Lepisosteus oculatus: one gene and its partners. The protein of the gene in region 1 binds, or shares a complex with, the protein of each later gene. Links are inferred from orthologs where the notes say so. Each region holds a gene or a part of one and is shown on either strand. Other genes may lie near its edges. The genes, in order: fnip1, lamtor1 and lamtor3.

Evidence for each region.
Region 2: fnip1 (region 1) and lamtor1 share a complex: the UniProt entries of both Homo sapiens proteins name them as parts of the lysosomal folliculin complex. The link is inferred for Lepisosteus oculatus from reciprocal best matches to the Homo sapiens genes FNIP1 and LAMTOR1.
Region 3: fnip1 (region 1) and lamtor3 share a complex: the UniProt entries of both Homo sapiens proteins name them as parts of the lysosomal folliculin complex. The link is inferred for Lepisosteus oculatus from reciprocal best matches to the Homo sapiens genes FNIP1 and LAMTOR3.

What each region holds. Positions count from the first base shown.
Region 1 is NC_090706.1:24,569,580-24,579,914, reverse strand, and holds the start of fnip1 (folliculin-interacting protein 1), read left to right. Parts: upstream 1-6,004; 5' UTR 6,005-6,086; coding exon 6,087-6,175; intron 6,176-10,335. UniProt on the Homo sapiens protein: Binding partner of the GTPase-activating protein FLCN: involved in the cellular response to amino acid availability by regulating the non-canonical mTORC1 signaling cascade controlling the MiT/TFE factors TFEB and TFE3.
Region 2 is NC_090700.1:12,728,429-12,738,928, forward strand, and holds the start of lamtor1 (ragulator complex protein LAMTOR1), read left to right. Parts: upstream 1-6,166; 5' UTR 6,167-6,340; coding exon 6,341-6,382; intron 6,383-7,766; coding exon 7,767-7,912; intron 7,913-8,031; coding exon 8,032-8,109; intron 8,110-9,140; coding exon 9,141-9,264; intron 9,265-9,524; coding exon 9,525-9,617; 3' UTR 9,618-10,500. Other genes in the region: tomt (transmembrane O-methyltransferase homolog), read right to left, coding at 1-233, 770-966, 1,459-1,720; sfrp2l (secreted frizzled-related protein 2-like), read right to left, coding at 3,458-3,768, 4,169-4,246, 4,851-5,373. UniProt on the Homo sapiens protein: Key component of the Ragulator complex, a multiprotein complex involved in amino acid sensing and activation of mTORC1, a signaling complex promoting cell growth in response to growth factors, energy levels, and amino acids.
Region 3 is NC_090696.1:56,883,142-56,893,155, reverse strand, and holds the start of lamtor3 (ragulator complex protein LAMTOR3), read left to right. Parts: upstream 1-5,340; 5' UTR 5,341-5,401; coding exon 5,402-5,523; intron 5,524-7,404; coding exon 7,405-7,463; intron 7,464-8,435; coding exon 8,436-8,569; intron 8,570-9,765; coding exon 9,766-9,829; intron 9,830-10,014. Other genes in the region: gar1 (H/ACA ribonucleoprotein complex subunit 1), read right to left, coding at 1-46. UniProt on the Homo sapiens protein: As part of the Ragulator complex it is involved in amino acid sensing and activation of mTORC1, a signaling complex promoting cell growth in response to growth factors, energy levels, and amino acids.

The DNA of each region.
Region 1 (10,335 bases):
AATCTCAATATTGTTTTTATCCTTCTTACCTTTGTGGTGTTATTAATCTTATTAAGGCTTATTAAGTTATTAAGGCTTCACAGATGTGAAAACTGTATATTGTTAATGAAAGTGCATGTGTTTGTATAGCACTCTTGTAATATGAATGTTCAAAGAGTGGACTGGAAGCAAGTATTTTGCATGGTAAACAAAACCCAGCCTTAAAGTATTTAATTAATTCAATAATTAACACTGCAAGGAGTGACATGACTGGCTGGAAGACCAACCAACTGCACTAAAAAATCAACCTGATGAATGTATTATACAGCATGAAATGAAATATGCTATACATGTATTATATATATATATCATATGTAAAGGAAATAGGATTAAAATAAATTATAAATATAGATGATTTCATAGTTTATCAAACTGCATGGAAAAAATAAGATGTGATTGTTATGATTTTTTGTATTTTTGTGGATTTATTTTGTAATCCACAACAATGAAATGACTCCCATTATTAAAGACTTATGAAGGTCTGTAGAGGTTAAGATTTAAATTAATTATATGGAACCTAATTTTGAGCTGTTTTCTAATTGTATCATGGCTGTCATTAATTTTGCATTAATTCGTTTTTCCATAAATTTTAACAAATCGGAAAAATAAGAATACAGCATAAAATGTAAGAACATTGTAGAAATTTTACTTAATAAATGTTTATGTCTAATCTGTATTTACATTGCTTCCTTACTCATTGTTTTTCATTTTATTACTGGATGGGTGATTATTAATTCAAAATGGATTATTTACAGTACAGTTATAATATTGTGACTTTCTCATTGCAATGTTTTCCAAGAACTTGGTAAAGAAAAACATCTTAAGTTTGTCCTACTTTACAATTGCCAAGTTTTCAAAGGAATAAAGTTTTTACCTTGATAAACTGTACAAAAACAGAAGAGCAGTGGCTAATTTAAAGTGGCTTCAAGAACTAAAAAAACATTAGATTCACGGCCAGTTGAGATACTGGTGTACAATACTTTCCCACACTACTGTAGTGCTGTTTAATTTCTATGCATCCTTCAATTTTGGGAATATTGAATTTTATTTTTATTTCACCAGACCGATCATTTTGAGATTTTGTTCTGGTTAAAGCAAGGCACAGGATAATATCATAGTATAATAATGAAGGTGCTAATAATTAATTATGGTGATTGTTGTTATCAGAAAGTCTTTCAAGAACTAAGTGAAGCAAAAGATGCCCAGTTGTTTGTAAAGCTAAACAGTACATTGAGATCAGCTAGGGTGATGGTATTTATTCATTTTTAAAAGATATATTTTAAAAACAATAAGGAATACTGTCTTAATGAGATGTGGTTTGTTTAAAACCACTAGACAGGTATAATAATACCCACAATAGTAGGCATAAACTATTTAATGTTCTGGCTGTGTATTTAATTATGCCAACAGTGTGTAGCAGGTCAGCAATACTGATGATTATTGTTTCACTGACCTGCCACTAGAGGTCGTTTAGGCCTCTGTTTTGTTCACCTGTATGATGTATTAATTGAATAATTACTTAACTGGTCAAGGGTAAAAAGCTACAGTTTATTCTTACATGGGTTTAATTTAGACTAAGTTTGGTTATAAAGGGATACACGGTTCTGCTGAGAGTTAGGCCTGTTGTGGTGCTGTTTTTTAACATAAAGTTATAATAATGCTTCACAAATTATTCAGATTGAGCGCTGATAAGTCCACGTAATGCTGTTAATTTTACTTAAATAGTAAGTGACGTCAGACTGTCAACTTTCTGGTACTTCTGTGGGGCTCAGGAAGCCCTGTGTTCTGAAAAATGTTGCATTTGTTTTCAAAAAGGAACAAGTAAAGGTTTATTCCACACTGAAGAGAGTGAGACACCTGAAGAAGGGTCTGCAACCAAAACTTTGTTTCTTTTCTTCGCTTTTCAGCATGGAATAAACCTTTACTTGTTCCTTTGCAGCCTATGCATGCTGACGCAGCTACCTACTTGAACTATTTTTTCAGTTTTCCATCTAACAGTAAAGAAGAAACTAAGAAGGACAGGATGACATTCCCTATGAATCTTTTTACCCTCAGCAGCACCTAAGATGATAAGTACAGTAGCTATTAAGCTTGTCCATATCTCATCTTAATATGTATTCAATCAGTTTATGCATACTAATTCAGTTATAATGCGCACTCTAACACCCTAAAATATGGCCTTATGGTCACTTATGGCTCATTTCAGCTTTATGTCTCCATTCTAAGTTTAATTCTGTATATCCTTCTGTCTGAAATAATTAAACCAGTTCTTACTTTCAAACCGAGGACTTAGTCAAACAGTTCATAACTATCATTTAAAGATGGTATGTAATGCAATGTGATACAGATTGAAAGATTGTGTACTTGGATTGAAAGATTGTGTGCTTGGATGAAGAAGTTTAAGAAGTCAAGACATTTAAGAACTTTACATCTCCTCAGTGAGTTCCCCTCATCACAGTGAACACTGGTACCGCTATTTCGAGTGCTTGTTAACTGTGCTTTCTTTATAATTACAGAAATGAGCTGTGCTACTCTTCAGATCAGTCAAAGGGTGTTAGCTGTGATTATGAAAGCAAAAAAACACTGCAAGAAATCCTACAAAATTAAGGTTATAGGGAAAGTTGATTGTTGGTTGGTATCTACTGTACAGTACTTCCACACAAATATGGGTCCTATCCAAAACAACACAGGAAGGTATGCTGAACAAGGTGTGACAGAAGAGAGTGGTAAGCCTAAACCAGAGAGAGAGAATACAAGGTTTCCTGAAAGAAAATTAAATCAAGGAAGAGTTTTCCAAAAATCTGCAAAGAAGAATGTAGATCCTCTAGATAGAATGTGAAATCAAGACGTTCTGCAAGAGGTAGGTTGTGTTTTCTTTAGGCCATTATACTGTGAGAACATTACAAGGTGAATGGGATTGGTTGAGTACAGTCTTGAAGGCTGAGACCCACAAGCCCAGGGTCAAGAGTTAAATGTGTATACCTCAGACCAAATCTGGGTACCCCCGGTCCTGGAGGACCTCAGCTCTTAATTTCTTAATTAAACCATTTTTTTATTTGAACAAATTAATCGTTGTTTCCCGATTTTGGATCGGTGGTGATTTAATGAGATCTACAAAATCACAAGCTAGGAACACAAGGGCTATTACGATGATTTGGGTTTCTAGTAGGTCGCATGGGACTTCAGACACTTTCTCAAAAGGCAATGCTCTCTCATCATCTGGGGTCTTCTGTCCTTTTCCCTCAGGAAAACTGCAATAAAACAAAACTGGAGTAGAAGAATAAGGCAACTCATTAAGAAAACGAGTTGTGGTTGACTTTTCACATCTTTACCAAATGTTGGATGCCGTTGATGTTGATTAAATAATGCCTGGAGATCACATTGTTTGCTATATTTGTTAAGTACAGATCCAGGTAGAACAGACAGACAAAAACACCTCACATCGCAGACTACAGGGCTCAAATGTTTCTTGCCAAAACGTACAGAAGAGTTGTCTTTCTTTTTTTCTGAGGAAGAGCAGCAGCACTATTGCCGGTATAAACATTTTCATGATGTATGAGTGTTGTCTGGAATGAGCTCTTACTTTGAAATACTCAAATCATTGAGCTGAGAACACAGATGATGCTCCCTGGAGGCTGAAGCCAAGCCAAAGAGCTGAGAATCTCCTCAAGGGACAAGTCCAGGAGAACATAACTGTGGTGTAGGTGCTGTGGGGCCATTTCCAAATTGGAGCATATAAAAAGAATGAATTAATTAACTATGACTTTTGCTTTTCTCATTTGTTTTCACATTTCTCTAGTTCCCACATGGTGCTGGGGCAGAAACTTCACTTTCAGTTGAGCTGGTGACAAAGAAGGTGCAAGAGACAAAATGTATGGGAACAAATGAGGACAGTTAGATGTACAGTTTGAGTGTTATTTTTAGCAAGTATTTTGGAAATAACATTGCATAACCGTTTTAATATTTTTTATATTATTCAGTGAATGAAAAGATAAATTGTGCCTGAATAAGAAGGCAGGTTAATCAGATTCCTCTACTTCAAACAAAGGCTTGAAAGCTTATTTTAGGAAAACTTTGTGTATATAGAAATAACATGTACATTTGAAAAGAATAAAAATGTTTCGACTGTAATTTGTTTTGCTATTCGAATAATACTAAATTTGTTTCTGTGGACACATTTTCATGTAAAAAACTCGTAGATATTAATTAAAAAAGGATTTTTTTATTGTTATACATTTTGTACATCTATACTTTTTATATTGAGATTAAAACTGAGATTAAACAAAACTGTCTTCAATTTCGCACACTTTGCAAATCATACACCACTGTCTGGTGTTGAATGCGGATGAGCTAAATGATAGTCTTTCTGTGTTTCGGTAGAGGGCAGTGTTGCCTTTAATGAGGATCATTTTCTTTAAAGGTGTTAAGAACTACCTGCGCATGGTAAACATTTTGTGTTGAAGTTATGAGATGGAAATTGGTCACTAGTGTTAAGTGAACACTTAAAGAACTTTTTCAGCTAAGCATCATGCTTGGGTGTATATTTTATTGTAACCAGTGAAGAGCAAGATGCACAGATGTGCTGAGTTTTATTAACCTAAGAGCCAACAGATTTCATGTAGCAGCAGGATGTCATATTCATCTGAATTATAAAGTGAACAAGCACTGACTGACTAGAAAATCGAATAGAATAGAATTTCAATCAGATGTTTAAAATGGATCCATCACCTAAAATTAATGTAATCTTTTTGAACTTCTATAAAGAGGAAACGTTTATTTGAACAGGATTTCGGACTTTGACTGTTGCTTTTGTATACATAAATCTGAACACAGTTCATCCATTCATCCAGCAACAGGCACAAGAAAGGATATGCCCTGCACAACACTCCAGTCCATTGAAGGGCACACAAACTCTCACCTACAGTAGGGCCAATTCTCCCAGAAGCCACTCAACCTAGCAGAAAGGTTTTGAGCTGTGGGAGGAAATTAGAGCACATAAAAGAAACCCATGCAAACATGATGAGAACATACAAACTCCACACAGACAGTACCCCAGGTCAGGCATTAAACCCAGACTCCCAGCACTGCATGAGAGCAATGCTAACCATTGCACCACCATGCTGCCAGAATGCAGTCTCGTGCAATCTTATTATTCCAATGTTAGGTCATTTTATAAAGAAGTGGTCACTCAAATTTCAAGATGTTACTAACTTTGCTTGTGTAGTTTTAGCTGAAAATGACTAAAGAAAGTCATAGGTTTTTCTACCTTGCTTTTCTTATTTTAAGTATTTATCTACAGTACTGATGTGCAACAAGCTCTGCATTTACAGTACTCCTCTACAGATGTAAGAGAAAATAGATTGATACAATGACATTTGAAGACTCATTTTGTGTAATGGCTATCTTTTTTAGCGTGATTTTTGTTCTGAATTTACTTATTTTAAATATGCCTTTTCTAGTGAGTTATCACACCTGTTTAATGAAAACAATTTCGTTGTATAAAGCTTTTTATTTAGCAAATGTAATTGATTGAAATATGCTATAAAGGTATTTCCCCCAAACCATTACATTAGATTTGTCTAATTTTAAATAAGATTAGTTTCAACATTTTTTTCCTGTTACGTAATGAACCTATAGCAATGCTTGGTATTATTTAATTAAGGAAAGTGCATTCTGTAGTAAAAGACTCATGCATTCAATGTATCACCTTAAGATGTAAATTGAAACGTCGTATATTTAAGTTTAACGTGTGGTTTTGATAATTTCTGTACAGTTCTGTAAATGTTTCCTAGCCACACGCCAAAATATCAACACAGCAATTCTGTCGACCACGTGGTGCTCTGCCAAAAATAACAGCCAATCGCGTAATTGAAAACCATGAAGGTGCAGTATTGTCCAATCAGAAAAATCGAGTTGTGTTTCCTAGCAGCTTGTGTGACTAATGCCTGTCATATGACTCTGACACAAATGGAGTTAGTTTCAAGGAACTAGGTGTGCTTGTGGATTGATAAGAAAGAGAATTTTTGTACCAAAGTATTTGGTACAAAATGCCTCCTACGCTTTTTCAAAAACTTTTTAATAAAAGAAATGCCTTTTCGCCTCCTCCGAAGTGTGCAAAAGACGAGCAGACATTCAGGTACGTGACATAACAAATGGTCTTGGTTTTAATACCGTGCCATGGTATGGCTTCTGTTTGTATCAAGATAACGTAAGTTTCAACGTGGTTGCTCTTTGTTTTTGACAACATCGTGATTATGATTGCAAAAAGAAGAATAGAGCCGTATGTTTTTTGGACTCTTTTGTTTCTGGGTTACGCATTCGCTACATTAAAATATGGAATGTGAGATTTTTACAGAATTCAAGTTTACTTTTTGGGGTGTTGACATTTGTTTGGGTAAGGTGGTGCATAGAGTCGGAATGACGAACTGGGATGCAGCCTGTTCGGGGAGCAAGTTATATGATTAAGTACCGTGTTTAAAAACGCTATTAACTATTACAAATCCATTGCAATCGGTCACCCCCCTTACTGTAAACCATTGACGAATGTAAAATTCACTCATCTCTCGAATGACGACAGGGCGTCTGACTCAATTATATACAGTATACCGCAACAAAAAACGCGTGGGTTTGTGTGAGGTCAGTAAAGCTAAAATTCATATCCTCCCCTCTCACACCCTATTAATATTAAAGATTTGATGTTTTAGAACACCATTTATAGTCGGCACTGCTTGCATGTATTTATTGTACAGTATATAGGCTGTGCATTGTATTTATTTGAGATATTCTTACAGTCCAGAACTGTGCTGTGCAGTATGTCTGATACATATTTTGTAAGTATAGCTTATCATGCTCTTAAAATTGCATTGAGTGAAAAGTACAGTATATGATGCATGCAAGTGTTCACCGCAGTCGTACAGTACTTTAAAAAGATTGGTATGAAAAGGGTAGAACAGATTATGGGTCTTTCACAACTTTTCTGGGTTGAAGACCACTGTCTGAGAAGCCCCTCTCAGGAAAGTCCCCCAATTTAAATAATCTGAATTCTACAATAATTATCGGTAATATAGCATTGGATATTAAAACCAAAAATGCATGTCTTCGTGAGGGACCTTTTAGTTAAAATAGACACGTACAGTATGTGACAGGATTCCTGCGCGTTGCAGAGTGAAACTTTTTCGTTTTGCTGTATCATGAATCACAAGACACATTTCCTAACACGACCGCTATCTATTGCAAAAATGAAAACTGTCATTTTTTTGAGGTTATATTTCTTTTTGTTAGGTATTGCTTTGTGTTACAAATTAAAACATTTTCTTAAGATTTTTTTTAGGAGAATGCATTTTTTCTAGTCCCCTGCTTTGTTAGGACAATATACTGATTATGTTAATATTTGTAGAAGATATGCACTGAGAGAAGTAATATTAGGTCCAGTTGTGTTCATGTGGTTACTGGTATCTTATTGATCTGAGATAAATTAAGTTTTTCATTGAATGATCCCATAGAATTTTCATCACTATTCATAGTTGATATTTTAATCTTGCTGGAGTGCTCTTTTGTTCACATTTTTATTAAGAAGAAAATAGATTCTCGTATTTGTCATGGGGTTCTACAATGTGCCAGAATAGTGTCTCTGGCTGTTTAATGAAGAAGGATCAAATAAAACTTGATTTTGTTGAGGTTTTTTGTTTTATCCAAGTCTTTGGGCCATACCTCTGCATTCATCAGTATTTGTGTTATTTTGTATGAAATTAAATATTATTTTTAGGTTTGTTTTGATATCTTCAATTGAAGTAGGATGTTTGTTTTATCCTTTTTTAATGAAAGGGAGGCTTAATAAATTGAGCTGTGAGACCTTATGTTCATGAGATTTGATATACTCTTTTTTTAGGCATTTTAATAGGGACATTCCTAGAGAATTGATAATCTTTAATTGGAATCCTCTCACATATTCTCTAGAAGTCTGTGCAATTGAACTTGAAAGCGTAAATTAGCAAATTCCATATTAAAGATGCCTTACACCTAACCATACAGAAAAATATGCAGCATTTTTACTTAAAAACAGGATTGGAATCACAACTGCATTCATTCAGTACCTCTTCTGATGTATTTATGACATCATTGAGTTCCCAGTGGTTTCACAGACCTTAATTATCACTAATCCTGGACTACCTGATGTTAATTTGGCTAGCGAGTCCAGGGTTTTCACAAATTAGGGTCTGCAAAATGAGTCCGTAATGCACAACACATCTCTGTGGCCTTGCACATCAGGTCATTCCACATTTCTTTTGTGGGTGATGATTTTATAATGCGTATTAGAATCTGATCAGTACAAAAGTGACTAATGAACTTTGTGATTATGTAATCTAGTTGTGTAGTAGGACGAGGTCACATCTGAGGAAAGAGTAAACTCCAGAAAGTTTTCTCTTTTAAAGGAGGGGGTTTCATTGATTTTGGCTCCTATTTTTTGTCACTAATGGTGGACACTTAACTAAAGTCTTTCATAATATAAACTGAACTATGTGCCAGCATGCTGTGTGTGCTAATCACAAGCACATGGAATGGGCCCTTTATAAATACACTTCACCTTTCTGCTGCGGTCAATTATAGGTAAAAATGCTATAAATTATAGCTATAAAAATGCTTTACCTGCATTAATGTACGTCACTCAGTCTGGGTTAGAATCCATTCCTGACCTTTGGGCTTGACCGAATTTTTTATTCCTGAAACTAAAGTTTCATTCAGTCAAACATAAATGATCAAGTAAGTGTTTAAATATCTTTAATATTGTTGTTGTTTCTATATCTTAATTCTATATTATCTGAGATTCTGTAAGAAATCTGGAATGCTTCTGCTTCATGGCGCATGTAAAAAAGAATTGTAACTTTTAAGTGGGGGGTTGGTTTTTCACATTTTTTACAAAGCTAAAGGATTTGAAAAAATGGTGTTGGCTGTTAGGGATTTGTAACAGTAGTGAAACTTAAAAATCTTAGTCTCACAGCTTGTGAATGGTATGTTGTCAGAAGGGGCAGTCCCTTAAATTTGAAATAAAAATCCTTTCTTCATTTTTCTGTTAGAATCAGCTCTATGAATTTTTTAGCTAAAATAAGCGCATCCTAAAATGTGACTCACTTCAATTCCTGTAATAAGGGCGGTCTGGTCTCCATATTAGTCTTTCAGTTTTTTTTCTTACAGGAAGTTCTGCATGTGAACATTAATTCACAATGAACTTAAGTTTCTTAAGAGACCATGAGCACATAAATGTCACTGTAGCAAAGTGAATAATTATTAGTACCCCACCCTAGATTATCACTGATACAGCTGCATGTTGTTTCTTTGGGGAAAATCAACTTTATGAAGGCCCCAGATTTTCAGGAGAGTCGGAGCTAGAAGCCAAATCTGTAATTTGCGATTGAAGACAAAGTCGTTTGGTTTAATTTGAGTATAATATAAATAATTTTACAGACATAAACAATAAACATTTGTGTCAAATGATAAGCTGTAGCTCTATAGTCTGTTAAGCAACTACCCTAATAAAAAAGTGAAAAACATTTTTAAACAGAAGTTTATTTTTTGAATAGATTACTCATATTTTATCCTCTTAAGCTCTTAGAGCACACAGTGATGAAAGGGTTGTCCTCATGAATACCGGGGAGGTCAAACAATTGGCTGACCTACTGAATTTAAACCAAAACACGCATGTTATGTATTTATACCCATGATAACCCAGGTCACAAATTATTCCCATCCAGCTGAGTGCTGTGTTTCCCAAACCATTGCAAAAGGCTCTGTAAAGTTGGGGCTACCAGCACTTTTGAATGCCTCACTGGAAATTAGCCCATTCATAGCATCAGAAACTCCACCCTTAAATCTTAATACAATGCAAACAAAATCTGGTAAAAGTTCATCTCGGTGAGAGCTGTCAGTGGGGCCTTTTTAAATTTGTTTCGGCTGAGTGTCTGTTGTGGTGCACTCTTGGGTTTATTTTGCAAGTTTGAATGCCAGCATCAGAAAATGCCCTTTCCTTTGCCTTACTAATAAATGATTCTCATTTACATGTCGAGTTAGTAAAGTATACTGAAAGAATAGTTATTTGTCTTGTCTTTATTGCCTTTCATATCGTGATAAAATATATAGTACCTGAAATTAGGGAAAGGACCGGTTTTGATTTTGTTTTGTAATTTTGAGCTTTTCTTTGTTCTACAAAACAATGTTAAAAAGAGATTATAAGGTTGATAAGAGGCTTCCCTTATTGCTAACCTTAAGAATAATCTGAATAATTTTGATAAAGGAGAGTAT
Region 2 (10,500 bases), on another chromosome or scaffold:
TAGAGCCCGCTTCGCTTGACGTAGCGCAGGAAATGCGGCGCCCCCGGGAAGATCACATTGTCGGCCAAGATAACGCTCCCTGCTCCGAGCAGGCCGCTCCCTTCCAGGAGCTGCAGGTCAGGCAGGTAGCAGCGCTTCCAGTGGTCCATGAACACGAAGTCCAGCCGCTCTATGCCAAAGTCCTCCCGCAGTTTAGGAATCACTTGATCTGACGGGCCTATAATCAGCTCCACCTGAAAGGCAAGGAAAAGAGTCTTCGTGGTCCGTGACTGTCACTCGAGTCAGGACAGCCTCCAGCTTTGACAGTAACTCTAACGCACAGTACAGTACGTGCCACTTCTGTGTTCTGTAAGTTATCGATGCAACACGGTATATTATTTGGGACATTGATTCCTATAAATCCGGTGTCCAATAATGTCCAAGAACTAGTTTTCACCCGAAAACTGCACCCAGTAGAGAAGTGTCCCAAGAAAGCAACAATGTGTGAAGAACTGATCTATCCAATATGTTCAGAAACCAAGAGTGAACTGAGTTAGTGTACGCTGGCTGAATACTTTCACCAGTTAAAAAGTGTAAAACGGTCGAAACTGAATCTTTTCTTTCCGTAGTATAGAATTCACCTTTACTCGTTTCAATGTCAGGGCGAAATGGTTTGAGAGGTGTTGTTTTCGTTGTAAAAATCATCACGTAGCAGTACTTATACATTATAACTTGTTATATGTTTTTTGGTGATTTTATCCTTGATAAATCAATAAACAAGGAGTCTTACTGTGTCGTCATCAAAGCCGGCCAATCGGATGACCTTCTCGGCCACAGCGGCGTTGCGCTCGTCCATCTCTACTGTGTAGAGTCGGGCACCGAGAGGCAGCGAGCGGGCGATGCGCACGGCTCCGTACCCGCAGTGTGTGCCCAGCTCCAGCACAATCAGAGGGGCATTTTCTAATATCAGCCTGTCCAGGAGTCTGCCTGTAATCACAGGATTTACAAACCACACAGATGGAAACAATCAAAGAAGTCATCTTTGTATGCGATTAGTGTACCAATTTATTACTACGATATAATATAACAACAGTATATTTTTCTTGCTGATTCTCTGTACTATTTTTTTCATTATAAGACTAATCTACCCATAATTCTGTGAACTTACCCCTTTCTACGTGCGATGATACATGTTATGTGAATTTCGTAGAACGTTTTAATGCGCATTTTATAACTATCCAGATAGTATAACAGAAGTTGCAAATGCGAATTTCTGTATTTCAAATCTATTTGAAACTGTATTTTCAGTCTTATTGACCAATATCAGTAACAACAGAGAGTTTGTAAAAAAGTCGTTATCTCAAATGCGATGCGAGAAAAATAGTCAACAATTATCCCCTGACCCGTCCAGCCTACGTACAGTACCAGGAAGAAAACACCATGCACAGTTAAAGGGGGGTTGTATGTAGTAATAGACACCTTTCTTGGGTCCGATGTTGCTGATGTACTCCACCTTCCTACACCAGTGATCGAAAGCCTCGAGGATGCTGTCTGGGTCTCCCGGAGTGACGTGCGTGAGCACATACTGGAACGCCCGCTCCTCCCTGGACAGGCCGCTCAGGCAGTCCTGTATGAAGCGCACCAACACCGCCCGGTAGAACAGCACGAAGTAGTAGCGGTAGCGGATCACCAGCGTCAACAGAAAAGGTAGGAACGCCAGTGCGATCGCTGGGGACACCATGATAGAGGCTGACCTAAAATAATCACAAAACAAATTTGAGATACAAGTCCCAGTTGGCTGTAGGGGTCTTTTTTTCTTTTCAGCACCCCCAAAGGTTCATAAAACCCGTACCCACAAGCGCTATTCAAATGTTTCGTCAGCCAGAGCCACGTTCTTTTGACTGAGGATTTATCGCACTTCTGAGGGAGTCATGCCTTACAAGAATAGATAAAAAAAAAACAACAGATGCACCACTATCGATTTATACACCTTAAAAATAATACCATACATTGTACTTGTGGTCTACAGTATACACCACAGAAACATACATTTGTTGATTTTGTACAGAGCCTCAAAAGAAGCTTCAAGCAAACCAGTAGCACCTTACATTTATGTACTCAGTTTCATCACAGCTAGATGTTGCAGGTCTTTTATCCCAGGTCAGTTTGTCATACAATCCTGAGTGTGGGAACAGTTCCCCTCACAGCGATGCTTAGTGCAGAGCATGTGAACTAATCACAGTAAAGACCCCAGACCACAAACAGCGGAAGCACACTTGAATATCAGAACACTGGTAATGCAGTTCAGACCAACCTGTTTCGAGAAGATATTGGATGAAGACTCTAGGGCTGGGGGAAACGCAGCTCTGTGTTGAGCTTCGGGCCTTAAATGCAAGACAGGTAAAATTGGCCGAGTCACCGCTGTTAAGAGGAGGTGTGTGAATTATTGATGCGACCCCAAGCTGATCCAGTAATTCGCAGAGAGAAAGAGGTGCGGGATCCTCAAGGATAGGGTTACCTGCCCCGCTTATCGCAGCAACACGTCGACAGGAATTCTCCAGAACGCATCACAAGTTCACCCCCGGGAGGCTTGGTAATGTGACCTTTGTTCAAAGATCACAAAGCCTTTGTTTCAAGCAATTTTTAATGGGAAAAAAAACACATTACTAAAAAAAAACCAGGAAAATACAACATCCCCATCAACGTGTTTTTTGGTTTGAAGTCCTTCGATTTGATGGAGGTTTATTTTTGTTATACAACCATTTAGAAATTCTAAAACCTCGGCAATTACTGTACTGTCCAACAATTTACTATATTTGTGTTTGGACACTTGGATTTAGGTAACATTGATCTAAAAATGTTACTGGGTATTGTAAAGGGTGGTACGATATTTGTTAGGCTTGAAAAAAATTGAAAAGTCATTTAATGTAGACTCAATTTAATGCCCCCTCCCACAACCACCACCTACATATGAAATATTTTCCATTTCATTTACAGTAATAAAACAACATGCAACAAAAAACACAACAATCATAGGAAAAGCTATTGCTTAACAATGCTGATGTTTATTTATTATTTTGTAAAAATGCTTTCTGAAAATGACACAACGTATGCACCAATGCTGTCATTTATATAAATAATTCAATGTTTTCTGATATAGTAATTAAATTGTTAATGGCTAGTTACATACAACACCTTCAGTTAAATTCCCCATTGTATTGCCCTTAAGAGACCCAAAGGTACATGGCTGATGCAGAAAAGCATTTTTAAACATTGGAATCTCTTTCCTGAGTGAGGGAAACGTTTTCCATATTTGATATTAAAGGTATTTAATGTAACCAGACCTTTGTCATTTATACTGTGGTGTTTCTGTACCCCTGAGAACTTTTCTGTTATACTGGACAGGGAGGTTATATCTTCTATTAATATTCACCACCCCTATTTTCCCCATTAAATACACACGTAAAGATCCATCCACTCAGCAGCGGAGCTTCTGCAGTCCCCTGAGGAATTTCCTCAGCTCCTTGTCAGAGCTTTGCCACAGCAGCAGCTTGGAGAGAACCAGTCTACCTCTCTGTCTGCTCCCCAGGGCCAGAATGATGCCAGAGGAGGGACCATCCAGTTCCTCACAGGCGCACCTGCTGCCCTCTGGCAGCCAGAGGGCGCTCCGAGCCATCGACTCCTCCTCAGCGCGGTCACCTTGTCTCAGCACCACCCGGCTTCTGCCGTTAGGAACAATCTTCCGGTCAGCCCCCAGCAACTGTGTCTCTTTGACCCTTAGTCGCACGACTGTATAGAAATCCAGACAAATAAAGCAGAAAAGTGTAAATTTAATAGTCTTTATGTGGAAATGCAGGTAAAAATAAGGGTATTTTTTGAGATGGTAGCCTTACTCCTACATATTTTCTTTAAAAGCTGATATTTTAAATATCTGATATTGATATTGTTTAAATACAACTACCATCCAGTTGGATTTAAATTAGAATTTACTTTAAATCAGTGTTTTCTGAAGCAATCGGCATGTTTATATGCTGGGTGGATTGATTTAATCTCACGAATTAAACACAAATATAACATACCAGGAGCACATAGAATTCAAACACATGCACCATACGAGGAGCGTACAAAATTTGGATTAGGAAAGGTACTCCAGCACATGCTCTGATCATCCACTTTTTATTGAACTCACCAAAATCGCTTTTGCAGTAATTCTCCAGAATCTCTTTCCCACCTTCTGGCAAACTGCACGCCTCGCATATCAATGTCCCTGTGCGAAGGAAAAAGGAATCTTAATTTATTTTCAAGGAAAAATCTTTTTAGAAACATATTCGTAGTTGAGTCGTCTTTAAAACGTGCACATGAAAGAAAAGCAAAGATAGCAGCAACTCACCGGCAAACATTCGGAGGGTGGTAAGCATTTCAAGTGAACAACGTTTAAGTATTTTATTTCGAATTTGTGTTTCTATTTAGTGGTAGATTAATATCAGACAATGTTTCGAGGTTCCCACCTCTGCCTCATAGAAAGTAGATGTCATGTTACGGGGAAGAAAATTGTTATAGACAGTATTAACTACTCTGCCATCAAACACGACCAGCCGAGAAGTGGCACAACCATTGAAGTCTAATGCAAAACCTCTTAACAACCACGTATCGTTTTGCGCGTTTCATAACACGCTCCCTAGAATCGAATCTCTTGCTTTCCACTTTAAATTTATGCGCTTTCAGATTTTTTTAAATCAATAATAATACATTGATTTTATATGGCGCCTCTAAAGGTAAATTCGCAAAGCGCGCTGTGTCTTTTCGATGACAGACTTTTAAAAATAGTATTTGAAACCAACACAATCAATGACAGGTGAATTCCAACAAACCGTCCATATCGTTGCTGTGGGGCCCCGGGTTGCCGTTGTCGCTGGACGGAGAAGCCGTGGGCGGGATGCAGACCTCGGCGCCGGTCGGGAACTGGCTGCAGTTGAGGATCTCAGGCCAGGGAAACCCGAAAGCGCTCATGACAGGCAGGCAGCCGTCCCGGACTCCCTCGCACAGGCTCCTGCACGGCCGGACGGGCCGCTCCAGCTCTCGTAAACAGACGGGGGCGAAGAGGGAACAGAGGAACTTCTTGGTGTCGCGGTGACACTGTTTGGAGAGCAGCGGCACCCAGGAGCCGGCCTGCTGCTGCGCTTCCTTGATGGTTTCGTGGCCCAGCAGGTTGGGAAGGCGCATCTCTCTGTAGCCTACGTCGTGGCACAGACCCATCGTGTTAGGAATGGGTTTGCAGACCTGGCGCTTGGCGCTGAATCCAGTGGGGGCGAACTGTAGCGAAGGGTCAGCTGCACAGACGCGCCAGGATGTGAGCAGTATCCAAACTTGAAACGGAATGGATACCGCCATCATGACGTTCGTACTTTTGAGTACTAAAAAGCCTTTAAATCAGGTTTCTTAACCCCACAATCAGTCTTCGGTGTAGTTAATTGACGTTATTCACTTATTCAAACTGATGCTTAAGAGGCATTTCGGCATCCAGTCTCTTGTTTCAAGATTAAATATTGACATTCACCATACTTGCCAGAAAGATAAGCTGGGTTCTCCCTCCATTAGCTGCAAGTACGAATACGAGTCGCCAAGTACAGTCCCCCGTCTTCGCAGAGCTTGAGAAAGAGTGTTTCTCTGGTGTTCTGCTAGGAGATAAATGCCATGACTGATCTGTAATTCACCTAAATTAAAGAGGGAAATGGTCGAGACACATCCTGTCAAACTGGTTTTTAAACCAGGCATTGTGTAATGCCATCTGTAATACCATCCGGGAAATGTGTTTATTGAGGGTTATAAAATTGAGACCTGTTATTTAACTACAGTGCTTTGAGGACGTGTTGGAAGTGCCAGCTTTAGTAATTTACACTTATTTTCAAATTCTTTGCAATCAACATTTTTTTAGTTATGTTTAATTAAAACCATACGTAATAACAACAAAAACGGTACAAAACACAGCAACAAAGATGTCAGTAGTTGTACTATCACAATCTACCCCCACTGTTATTCTTGCACGGAGCTGGCGGACAAGACGGTCAATTTTCAGTTCCTGTATCACGTGTTGAGGGTGTTTTGGTTTCTCCCAACTCCGCTTCACGTCAGCCGGAAGTCATATGTTATTGCTACAGAGCTGTTGTCATGTGACTACAAGCCTGGGGTTTGGAGAGAGGGGAAGATCGGAAGGAACAGAAGAGAAGGGGGTTGCTGGTTTTCGTCTTCCCAAGCCTGCACACCGGAATTTCTTTCTTTCTTTAATTAGTTTACCGGGAAGAAAAGCTGGAGATTGCATTCGGTTCGCCTGGCAGAGAGCCGAGAGCCCCCAGAGGATACCATGGGTTGCTGTTATAGCAGCGAGACGGAGGCCACTGATCAGGTGCTGTGATCTGTTCTAGTGAAGCAATGGTCGAGGTAGCAGTAACACGCATTCCTAATGTAACATAACCTGGGAGACTGAGAGAGGGAGTATGCGGGACTGGATTGACCCGAAGAGAACATCTCTATTCCTTTAGCTACCGTATAGAAAGAAAATGTTTGTACCAAAAATTGTGAAGACGTAGTGTGTTTAGTAGGGCCTAAAGGGCAAAAGTACTACACGGGCAAACATACTAGGGCTAGAACTTAGTAAAGATGGTTTTCTAAAGTACCCAAATGACAAGGCTACAGGAATGCAGGATTGCATGACCTGAAACGAAAGAATGTGCAGCATGAGATTTATTGATTTCTTATTTTTTTTCTCTAATTTTCAACCTTGGCAAAAAAAAAAACAACAACAACAAACGAATCTGATTCAGCATGACAAAATAACCTCGTCTGTCACATGACTCTGGAACTTTGCAATAATGTGCAAATCACATGACAAACTGTCCCTTGCATGAAATATTTAGTCATGTGGGACAAAAAAAGTGACAGGCGGAACAATTTCAGAGTGCATGCACAATGAGCCAATTGGACACCAGCCTCTACTGTTCCTTTTCCTCAGTGATGTGTCAGGATGTTATTTGATCATGTCTTCTCAGAAAGATATTTGCTTATAGTATAACACTTTGCATTGTTTTTAGTTTTGCATTGTTAAAACTATGGCTTGGATTTTCAATGGTTAAGCATTTTTTATGGCCAAAATACTATAAGCGAATGCCACTATGCAAAAGTGATTTTGGATCCACCTGAGGATTTCATTTGAAACCCATAGCTCAGAGATTAGCTGGAACATGTATCTGGCTGTGCAGTGGGTTGATTTTGTTATTTTACATCCCCGGAGGCCTTTGACCAAATCCAATTAATTGTCCTGAAAGTTATTGAGTTAAGGAAGGTTTAGGAAGCTTCAGCCTAGACTTACATAGTTCACAAAACTCTCACACAACACTACACAATTTGTCACATTTTATACAGGGTACATATTCAAGCCAGGACTATAGTGATTCATTACCACATTTTTTTTTAAATGTAAAAACTCATGTATTGCTTAGCCGTTGTGTTCAGTTTGGCAGACATGGTGAAAATTGTATTTCTTGTCAAAGGTGTAGTTCACAGTGTACTTTTTAAAATATTGTACTGAGATATGGAATATTTTCATCACCTGATTTGCAAGGTATTTCTAAGCTTCAGTCCTGGCAGACAAATAACAGCCCAGGGTTTATATTTAGCAAGCAACCCATCATCTGCTTCTAAATTTGCGATTTTTAAATTGTCCAGCTAAGGCGCTCACTCCCGGTGTTCCCTGCTTGCGTTTGATGAAATGCACCATTGCTGCCTTTCAGGACCGAGATGAGAGGAAACCGCTGATCCCCCATCCCAACCCGGACAATAAACCAACCAACGGAGCAGAGAGGAATTCAGCCAGCCTTCCCTCAGCGCGGACAGATGAGCAGGCCCTCCTCACGTCCATCCTCACCAAGACAGCACTGTAAGTAGATGGTGGAATGGAAGCATCTTATCCACACAGTGAGACTGGCTGCTGTGTGGTAGTCTGAACACACTGAGGGGACAGGGAACTTAGAGGCTCATTCTTGTTTTGCTCTCCAGGAATATAATTGATGTCTCAGCTGCAGACTCCCAGGGAATGGAGCAGCATGAGTACATGGACAAAGCTCGACAATATAGGTAGGTTCAAACTTCCAACTCTCTACTATGTTGCTTGTTCTTAGGACATTTAAAAATATCTTTGCTTCCTTAAAACAAATTCCTGTTCTGGATGATAAACAGGTTCTGCCTGATGAAGTATTAAAGCTAGAATCTTTTGATACAGAATCATAAAAACATCTAAAATGTTTCCTGGAAAATGTATCTCTTCAAAAGTCCAGTGCTTGGTTTCTGTATAACATGATACCTGTCCTGAATTTGCCACTGTCTGTAGCCAGTGGAAGCCATGATCCAGCTAAACCCTGGACTCCAACTTACTCTCCAAAAAAATAAACCAAACTTAAAGTGTTACTGTGGATGATGGCTACCCATGAGTGCAAGACAAGCTCTTTTGAAGATGATATACAAATATTCACAGAAATACAGAGTACTTCAGTTACCACTCGGAGCAATAATTGGGTCCACTTATATTGTATCATTTACACAAGAGTAATAAAGCCCCTTACAATTTGTAGGCACTTAAATTTAATTACTCCGTTTGTTTAGAGGACATAGGTCATATGTCTGTTCATAAGGATTGTTTGGTTGAAAGCATATTGAGTATCTGTCTCTTGATTTATTTGTAACCATAGAGTTAAACTTTATTTACGTATTGCACTTAAGTGCACGATGGAGGGAAATTAACATTTCAGTAAACTCATTTGGCAGCCTTGTTCTGAATAGAATTTGGATTAAGGCCACTAACTGACACACTAAACAGATAACAGTAACTCCAGCTACTCCTTGAGCAGTTGACTTCAACTGAACTCCTCAGATGGCCTGAATATCAAATTTGTCATAGTCGAAATTTACTAATGGCCTTCTAGCTGTTAGAAATGCTTAGCTTGTGAAGATTATAGATGAGGTTTAGCATGATCTTCGTAATGGAATGCAAGCGACAGTCTTGTTAAAACGCCAATTAATCCAGTGATGTGCTGGATCGTTTTTTCTTTGAAAGAAGGTAATACGTTTTGTGGAAATTCTAATGATAACTTCTGCTGCTTATGTTTTAGTACAAGGCTGGTAGGCCTCAGTAACACACTGTCACAGAAGAAACCTGCACCTCTGCCCTCACTAACTAGCCAGCCCCATCAGGTGCTTGCAAGTGATCCTGTGCCATACTCGGACATACAACAGGTAAACAATCCTGCTTTTTATAGCTTGATAATATTCACAATCATTGCTAAATATGCCACAACCTGCCACTATATGTTAATATGTATATTAGGCCTTGTGCTTTCAGAGTAGGCTCCAGGTTGTTGCAAACCTTTCCAGAAATAAGTGACTTTATGATGGATAGACGGTTTTAGACATTCATATAAATGCAAAACATTCCTGTTTGTTTTGTGAATAAGTTAGATTTTGATTTTAATAATGACTTGTTTTTTTTTTTCCAGGTTTCAAAGGTAGCGGCATATGCATACAGTGCAATTTCACAGATAAAAGTTGACGCAAAAGAGGAACTGGTGGTGCAGTTTGCTATTCCCTGAGCGCCTGAGGATAGATTTCTGTCCTTGGTCTACTCCGATTTCTTTCTTTATCTCCCTTATGTTTCTAACTACACCCTCCATCTCTCTCTGTCCAAGACATCAGCGGTGCTACTGTAGAGCATCAACAGCTGATCGACTTGGAAACCGAACTTTCGTACTATAGGTCAACTCGTACCGAACAGGAACTTCTAAAGTGTGTGTAGGAATCTCTTTTGTGACCTGTGGAGGAATTTCAGATCCATGCTGTTCTCAGTGTATTAGTAAGATGGCGCTAAAACTATGGCTTGGATTTTCATTGGTTAAGCATTTTTTATGGCTAGAACACCATAAGTGAATGCCACTATGAAAACAAAAATGATATTGGGTCCACCTGAGGATTTCTTTTGAAACCCATAGCTCAGAGATTAACTGGAACACGTATCTGGTTGTGCAGTGGGTTGATTTTGTTAATTTACATCTCTGGAGGCCAGTGACCAAATCCAGTTTATTGTCCTGAAATGTCTTGGGTTTGGGAAACCTCAGCCTAGACTTATGTAGTCCACAAAACTCTCACACAACACTACACAGTTTGTCACATTTTATAGCCTCTGGTATGCAAACAATTTAAGAACGGTACAATCAGGCCAGGACCATAGAGATTCATTACCACGTTTTTTTTAAATGTACAAACTCACATAGTGCTTAACCCTTCTTGTCATTGAGATTTGCTGTTGCTATATTTTCTCTTGCAATTAACCAGCACTTAAAATTCACGGGCACGCAATTTAAGAAAGGAAAAAAAAAAGAAGCTGATGAGTTTAAACAATATTTAGTTTGTCAGTGCCTTTAATGTACAGATTTTGTAATGCATGGAGGCAAGGAATAATGGTGTGATTGAGGTTTG
Region 3 (10,014 bases), on another chromosome or scaffold:
ACCCCCCTCCTCTGCCGCCTCGGCCACCTCCTCCACGGAAAGACATTGCTAGAAGAAAACAGACAACAGTTCATGAGGAGTAAGGACTTTCTCCCACTGGCCTTTTGGTCAGTGTTGTATCTGCAACACAAAAAAACGTATTTTGCTCAAATATAAACAGCAGACGTCCAAAGAGCTGGGATGTATCCTGGTTTCTGTAGTATTGAAGGATACATCAGTAGTTAAGGAACAAAAGCTACAATCAAAACCGTACAGTCTCACATTTGCATACAGCAACATCGACATGATACATAAGTGTTATAATTATTCATCAGAGCATCATTTTTTATTTATTCAAAGCATGACAAGACATTTATTATATTATTTATGACATTCGGGCACTTAGATCATTTACTTACATTACTATACTAAACAGACCCACTTACTGCCATTTGAGCAACTCACAAAACATTTCTGATCCTCCTGTTTTGCACAAGAAAAAAAAAATTAAAGTGAAATTTAAGCCCTGGCCTCCTAAACGTCGACTGCAAAATGCAGTGTTCCATTAAGTTAAAAGAGTTTTGTGTTTTTTTAGAATGTGTGACCTAGATTTCGTGATCCCACCTTGGTTGACCATCTTGGCTCTTAAACGTTACTCCAACAATTAAATGCTTCAACAGGTAAAAGCATATTTTACCTCAATTTCCAATTGAGAACTACCAATTGTGAATAACTAGGAATGAGACAAACTTCCCTAAAACCTGTCTCTCTGCAGAGCAATCTGACGCAATGTGGTCTGCCTTATCCTACCGAAGAGTTAAAACTCATTAAAATCAAGGAGTTACTTTCTGCTTGAAAACCGAGACCGAGTTGATCAATTAATCCTAATCCTCCCCTGGAAGTGCTCAATCACCAATTCCACAATTATGTGAATCTTTCTTTTCTAAAGTTCCTTGTGGGAACGTCTTCTAACACTATTGAAAACAAAAACGGTTAATTAAATTTTAAAAACCTACAGCTATACTCCACCAGATTAGGGTATGATGCATAAGAGTATTAATAATATTCTTAATTAGTATAAAAAGTATAACATTAATTCATATTATGATGTGTCATTGAGAAAGTGGGCTGATAAGACAGCATTTTGGGTAAAACCAAATTACAACAGAATAAGATACAAAAAAAAACCCGTCTGATACTAGCTTGCTCGGCAAATTGAAACTTCATTGAAATGATTAATCTGACACAGTTTGACCAGCTTTTTGTAACAACCTCATATCCTGACTGCAGTTTTTTTTTATATAAATGGGTACTAGTACCAGAATTGACTTTCACTTAATAATACATAAATGAAAGAAAACAGTACTACTCCCTTTTAGCTCAACTACTGTTCATGCTTCGCATGAATTTTGGATTCGCGGGGGAAAAAAATTAGAATCGGGTGAGATCGCAACAAAACTTACACTTTAGCTTTCAGTGGACAAAGCACATGTTCCAAAATGGTAATGAATAAGATGGAGCCACTTTATTATGCCACACTGAACTGAAGTGCGTTGCTCATTGAAATTAATCGACATTACTTTTTTCACGACGTTCACTTTGAAACCATGCATAAATATCTCCTTTAATTTAGGGGGAAGTGATGAAGACAAAAATGCCGATTAACTCTTAATATGTGATTGAACCAAAGCATACAATTATTTATGTAGAAATTAACGTAGGTATGAATTGTGAAGTAATTAAACTATAACCAAACTGTTCAGTTTTAGGTACTCCCCAAAGCAAACTGACTCATAAAATAGTTTGGAAAACTTCCTGGACTTTAACTAGACTATAAAGCATGACCCAATAAAAAATCATAAGCACATCTTAAAAAAAAAACATTTACCTCACCTTTATCTGAAATACCGCCTGCTCCCAAAATGCCCAATATGTTCTTTACACCACCACGCCGCGCTGATTTCCTACAACCACACGTGGCCTTTACCGTAAGTCAGTTGTAACCACAAGGATTCACACTGTCGTAAAATGCTTGTAATGCAAATAATCAGGAAATCCTATTTTGATGATCAAGCTCATAGTCACAGATACTGGAATCATTACAGCGTATTTGTCAAAACCTTAATCCTCAGTTGTTTATCTTTAGTTATAAACTAGATGTTCTTTTCATGTAACTCATAAGTATTTCACTTCTAATGATCTCTGTGATTTGCTGTACCGCTACTTGTAAAGCGCCCTGAGTGGAGTTTCCAGGAAAGCACTAAATAAGTGTGTAAGCAATTATTATTATTATTATTATTATTATTATTATTATTATTAAAAGGGTAACTGCAGGTAACAATGCTGGTTTAGTTGAGACCTTTATAACCATGTTTCCTGTTTCTTTTGTTTTTATATGTGAGGTGTACTGTAAAATTCCCATTTTATTTAATTCAGTATACTTTATAAATGTAGAAAAAACTAAAACAAGAATGCTCACATTTATGGGGAGGCACGGTACGATAGGAAACTCTTTACGTTTGTGACAGCGGAAGCTGTCAATTGTTGAAAGGTCAATTGTTAAAATACTTCCGTTTCTGTGTAAATATCATGTGATTTATTTCATTTTCTACAAACCTTCCGTAAAAATCTAGCAGAAGCAGGTAATATCGTCTTATTTTGCATTATAAGTCCAATTAGAGTATTCTGCCTTTGAACAGGTTATCGTATTTTTTTTCTTTTTTAAAAGGAATCATAGACACATTGTCTTTTCGTTTCCTTTTTATTTGGTTCAGCCGCTGAGGTCTCAGTTTGAAATTAATTTGTAGTAGAAATTAAAAGTAGGAGATAGGTCATCTAGCTTAAAAAGGTGACATATAGTGCCTCTAAATTATCCTATACATTTATCTTGACACTGATTTTGATAAAACGTTTATTCCTATTTCTTTATTAATTAAGTGTACGTTTAATTAACATTATACATAATTAATAATAATTAAACGTAAATGTTAATGCTCGTTGTCTTTGACATTAGAAGGAGAAGTGCTATCTATTTTTTCGTTCGGTCCATTCTGAAGCCCTAAATATTTTCTACCTCCTTCTCCAATAATATCAGACATTAATTTACTACTCATAAATTATAATATTTTTATTTTAAAATAATACTTATTTGACAGAGGTATTCCCAATAAATATAATATATAGTCTTATTTATTCTGGCCACTGGAACTAGTGGCAATTAAGTTGTTTTAATCTACAGTATCAGAAACATTCACACTTCCGTCTAAAAATTATATTATTTGCTGAAAGACGATTTAGTTTGAACGAGTGTTAAATTTGATGTTGGTGTCAAATGTAACTAAACTATCACATTTGAAACATTAAGAGATGTAGATTACTGTTATTTAGATTTGCAGTTTTATACATTTACAGTTTTATACATTTCCTTTAATAAAACAGAGTTTCATGCAAAAAAACTGGAGTTAGAAACATTTCTTGAAAAAAGTATGACACTTTCCAGTCCTTGCTCTTGTCCTTTCATCACAACATCTGATTTTAGTTGTTTTACTTTCTAGGTTTTTAACTTCTAATAAAAACACAGAAAATGGCAGATGTAAGTATTTACTGTATAAATTGTCTAAAAAATGTTGTATGTTAATGTTAGCAAACTGCAGATCTTTTTTTTTTTCCGTTGCTGCAGGATGTTAATTGAGAGAAGACAAACCGTTACCAGTGAATGTTGGAAAACAAATCTGATACTAATGGATACATATTTTCAATTTCCACTGTTGCATGAATCTTATCATTATGTTTTTCATGCAGTTCCTAACTTTGGGTGTAGGAACTGTAAGTGCATACAGTTGTATACAAATTGTAGCCTGAACAATTACTGTGTAACTTAAGTTGGGTTTAAAATATAACACATATTAGGACAGTTTGAAATACAGCAAAAACAAATATTTCTAAAATCATTGCAAATTGTCCTAAATATACAATATTAAAAACTATTCACCCTACAGCAATTAATATTTCTTTCATTTGCCTTTGGTGCTGATAATAATAAAAAATCACTTCCTGTAACCTTTTAATTTGTTCTGACAATATTTAAGTTAGATTTCTTACTGTTCTTCCATGCAGAACTTCTCCATCTCCCCCAAATTATGCTTCCTGCTCTAGCAAAATGCTTTATGTAGTACATTCTGTAGTACATTTCATAAATATTCTGCTGTCTAGTCATATGGAGGTCGTGTTGGTCAATCAAAAGCGGGATTAACACTAGATAAGGAGGTGTGATTTGGGAGCTCTTCAGTAAATAGGTGAAAAGTTCATTTACAGTTTTTATTTTTAGACAGAAGAATTACAACATTATGTCTTGATCTTATCAGATTTCAGAAGCTAAGCAGGTCAGTGCTGTTAAGGGTGATGTCCAGAGAAATTCAGGTTGCTGTTGTAAGTTGGTGTTGTTGGTAGAAACAGTAGGTGGCACTCTTCCCTTTTTTTTCCAAATCCTGTTCTAATGCCCCAGTATACTCCATTTCTCCAATACTCCATAAGAACAATGTAATTTTCATTGTGAAGCACTGTGGGTATTGCACTTCAGTGGTAATTCAAACAGGTGCTTATCTATATGTAGAAAACTTTGGGATAAAAAATTACTCAAATGAAAGGAAGAAATTGCTGTATTACTCAGACTTCATCAAGATCACTTCTAGAATCTCTTTCCACATTTCAGCTTTGAGACACTTCCAGGTGACCACAAAGCAATGCAATATTACATTTCTGGCCATCATCTTTAACAAGTGTTCATATTTTCATTTATTTATGTATATGGAATGTACCCTTTCAGTATTTTTAAACCAGCTTTGTTACATTGTGTGAAGGGTATAAAAGTGCTGTCTGTAACCACAAACCTTCTCATAATGGGAATGCACTAGTAAACAGCAGATCCCTCCAACAGCTATATCTGATTGTTTTTCACAGGAGCTGAAGAGGTATCTGTATAAGCAGTTGCCAAGGTTTGAAAACTTTAATTTGTTTTTTGCTATAGAGAAATCTATATTTAAGATATATCTAAAAGATATTTAAGAATCACTAGTGATGAAAGAGTGGTACAACATAAATGTTAGGTGCATTTTCTATGCAGTAGGGTCTCAATATTTGTGAGGGTTTGGCGCAGAGAAAATAGCAGAATTGCCATATAAGCAAGACCACCTTTATACTGTTATATAGTGCACTATTGCATATAGTATGTATGGTTAACAGACATGTGTTATCCCTCCCCTTATATGATGATTAAAGTACTAATGCAGTAGCGTTAAGTTAATTAAAATAACTAACACAATTGTAATCACAAAAATTGTAGAGATCAGTTAGCTTAATTTCTCCTCTATGTTCAGCAGATACCTGCACTTTTTTCTCTCTGCTTGATTGATGACCCACTGTAATGAAAAAGGCAGCTCTCAGTGAGCCTGTAAGGTCATCTCCAGCCTGTCAATCCCCACACCATAAATTCAACCAAGATATACTTAATAAAATATTACCAAGATGTTACTATAAAAAAACAAGGTGAGATGTGGATGTTGGGTAGTGGGTACTTGGGCAGGGGGAAGAGAAACACTCTCACAATCCTTGTCTGTTTTGCAACTAGTTTGAAAGTTGTGCTTAATAACCTCCGCCTCAGTTCTCTTCTTTCGTTACAAGAACTCTACCCCCAGACCAAACTGTGAAGAAGTGAAATTGCAAATGTTATATTCAGAAGTATCTAGACCCTGCCGTACTTTATTGCTTAATCATGGTTAAGCAAAGTGAACTGCAACATGTTTTTAAAATGTTTACACCGTTTTTAGACATTTTGTTTTTGTGGACTGGACTTTAGTTATCTGTTACTACAGACAAACAAAGGATTGTTTCACCCCCCCCCCCCCCTTTTGCCATGAATCAAGCACTAAAATATCAGTTTCCTTTAGAGGTAATAGATAATAGGTTGGAGAGTGTTTCCCAATGTGAAAGAGAAGTAAATACTTGGGTGTCAAAACCTCCTGGAAAATATCTATGACAACAGAAAATTGCCTTGACAAAAACACTAAAAAAATAGCTCATGGTTTATGACGTTTCCCTATAAAAAGGTAAAACTGTGCCAAAATTAATTATAAAGTTCTGGCATTTAAACTTTGGCCTATATGAAAACAGCACTTCCCCTTCCATGTTAAATTACACTAACATTTTCGATTCCTCCAGGAATCAGAAAACAGAGTTTTTAATTAATGGCCTACAAGTAGTTTGATATTGAAGTTAATTCCTTATGAACAAAATGATTCAACCTTTGCTCCTGATCCTTGTGCTTTATGGCAAAATTCTACTTTGATATATGTTGCTAAAGTTTTCCAAGATGTTACATATGATTTCAAGTCAAGTCTATAGTTCTATTGTTCCCGCTTAAATGGTTTAGGTCAAAAGCTTACATCGGTGGCCATATATCATCCTGCAGCTCACAACTGACAACCCACTAAAGCTAAGCAGGTTTGAGCCTGGTCAGTTCCTAGATGAGAGACCTTGTGGGAAAAACAGTAGGAGGTGCTCTCCCTGCAGTTTGTGTGGGTCCTAATGCCCCAGTAGAGTGATGGGGACACTATACTTTAAAAAGGGCTCCATCCTTCAGTTGTGACGTAAAACCAGGGTCCTGACTCTCTGTGGTCATTAAAAATCTTAAGGCAATTCTTGAAAAAAGTAGGGGTGTTACCCCAGCATCCAGATTTCCCCATTGGCCTTTACCAATCATGGCCTCCTAATAATCCCAATCTATGAATTGGGTTCATCAATCTGTTCTCCTCCCTACTGAGAGCGGGTGTGTGGTGAGCATACTGTGCCGCAGTCTATGGCTGCCGTTGCAGGTGGATGCTGCACATTGGTGGTAGTTACCTGTACTTGTAAAGCGCCCTGAGTGGAGTTTCCAGGAAAGCACTAAATAAGTGTGTAAGCAATTATTATTATTATTATTATTATTATTATTATTATTATTATTAAAAGGGTAACTGCAGGTAACAATGCTGGTTTAGTTGAGACCTTTATAAATCATTTAAAATTGCCCTCCATTATGTAAATTTGCATCTGACAACCAGCTCTAGAATTATTTGGGGATTCTGATTCGTAAAGGTATTATCACTGTATATTGATTGGTTTATATAACCATTTCAGGGCAGAGTTGCTGATCATGCACCCCTCTCTACTTCTCCACCAGAAAAAGGAAGAAAACCTCTGATAGGTCTTTGTTCCGTTTAATTGTTAGTATCCTTTGAAATGTTTTTTTTTCTGTGTATCCCTTTCTTCCTCATGAATAAAGACAAATAGTTGAAATGCCTAGCCTGTAGCTGCAGATTAGTCTAGAAAACATCCTTTTGTTAAATGTATTTGTATTCTGTCTTCTAAAATTCTATTTTTTTTAAACAGCGTTGAAGGCCTTCATGCAATTGTAGTGACTGACAGAGATGGAGTACCAGTAATAAAAGGTACATTTATAGAATGAAGAAAGAAACAAGCTAGAAATGTATAAAGCTGCCTTATTATCTTAAATGAAGTAGGTGATGGATTACTATCATTAGTGGTAATCATTTGTTCATTTCAGATTTAATTCACTCCTATATTGCCGCATATTGCATTAAGCATGTTATTACTTCAGGTCAAATGTTCTCTCTGCCCTTATCATGATATAGAACATTAATGAGTACAGTCATAATGTATTTTCTTAAAAATTAAGTAGTTCATCACAGAAGTCAATGAAATGTAATACTGATGATTTTGTTCTTCTTAGAGACCATTCTACACTAATTTGTAATTTTCGTAAACATTTAAGATTCACCTATTTTACAGTGCAGATAGTTAATCACATGCATTTCAGATATTCAGTGTGCTCTGTCATGTTTGTATTAAAAATGCAGCCAAAATCTTAATGAAATTGACATTTCAGCTGTATTAAATATGCATAACCTCATGTCTGAGTCACAGATTTACATATAACAATTTTGCATAGTATGTGAGCTTCACACAATTCTTGTTCAATTAATAATCAAGTGCAAAGTTAAGTAACTAATAATGTGTGAATATGTAAAGAATTGTAAATGATTTTTTAGCTGCCTAAGAATTTAAATCACATTGAAAAGTATGTGATTTTTTTATCCTGTTTTCTTTATGTATTCTTACAGTGTAGTTTGGGGTGTATAAATGTGCTAGTTGTATGATACTTATAGTGTGTGTATAAGGTATACTTCATGCTTTCAAATAATTGAGCAAAATTAATTCAGAATAATGATTAAATATGATTTGATACATTTAAAAAATGCTTTAGTTTGATGTTGCATGTGTGGAAATGCATATTTAAAAATTGTTGTACAGAGTAATAAATAATTAGGACCAATGCCACATCTGACAGCATTCTTACTGGTATTTGATAGATTTTGACAGTTGTGATTTTCTTTTCACAGTTGCAAATGACAATGCTCCTGAATATGCTCTCAGACCGGGGTTTCTGTCCACATTTGCATTGGCAACTGACCAAGGCAGCAAGTTGGGACTTTCCAAAAACAAGAGCATCATCTGCTACTATAACACATACCAGGTGATATTGATATTGGTGATCTTTTTCTTTGATGGCACTTAAAGCAGAAGACTGTAACCTGATTCACCGATACAAGTTGATATATCAAAAGGGGACAGAGTGGACTTAAACATATACATAAGATAAACATTACAGGCAAATTACTAAATCAGTTGTAGTATCACCTGGTCATTTTAAGTGGTGTATTTTGTTTCAGAATCTGTCAGCAGAAAAGGGAAAATGAGCTAGCAATGGAGGCCCGATATAATAATACCAATTTCTGGTAGTATTTTGGTTTGAATAAGGTCAAAAGAATGTTTCTCTCCCCTTTGTATAATAAAATATGATGTGATACACTTTATCCCCAGTTGGGAGTTTATGTTGCTAACAGTTCATAGACATAAAAAAATAATTACTCCAAAAACAGACATATAACAAAGTACATTATATTCATTATAATCACTAAAGGCTCTCATTATTCAGTGATAAAGAAACCTAATTTCAAGAAAAAGCTCTTGAATTAAAGCTTATGAACATAAGAAGAATTATATGAGGGGGTATTTGTGGCATCACTGGGTAGTGACATAAAAGTACTAATTCTGGTACTGGCATAGCAATTTAAGTGTGATTTATGATTTATTATTTCTTTTATATATAACATTTATTTTAGACATGTTTTTTTTCTGAAAGACTTATGGAACTGACTTTCAAATAATGTACTTCTGAAAGTTGTTTTGATGTTGTTATATTGAGAGACATTTCCTCACAATTGAGGATACTTTTTTTTCCTTCCTCTTCAATTTGGATATACAGTACTTTTGCCAGCTGTCTGCAACAGTTAGGGAAAACCCCTTCACAATCAGCTTATAATGACCTACCCTGACCCCATCTTTAGTCAGTGGACTCATCAGCTCAGACTGCTTTCTGAAATACATTTACTGATTAAACATCTATAGAGCCCTCATTTTGTAAATGTGATTCCAGATGATTTAATAGAAATTTTGAATTTTCTGAACATCTTTTCTGATGTCAGATAATCACTTTAAAGACAGTGACAATTTAAAGAGATAAAACAAGATTCAGTGAAACAGTCAGAAATATAGCTTTACTATGACATTATCATTTGTACTTGTGGGAAAAAATAAATTTGAAAGATGAGGTATTTCAGAAAGATTATAGATTGTCCATTTAACCTGTGATTTTTTTCCTCTTTTTAGATTGTCCAGTTTAATCGATTGCCACTGGTAATCAGCTTTATCGCAAGCAGCAGTGCCAACACGGGTATGTCCTTCTAGATTCTGAGTTTGTAGCCCATTTATAAAACATTCTTCTATAATCTACCATACTAATTGTCTAAATAGATAATTCAGCAAAAGCTTAGATGGTAGATTGCCTTAGTTTTAGATATAAGCTGACAGCAACCTGAATCCTTCAAAAGGCCACCATATACATTATAAATGGCCAAA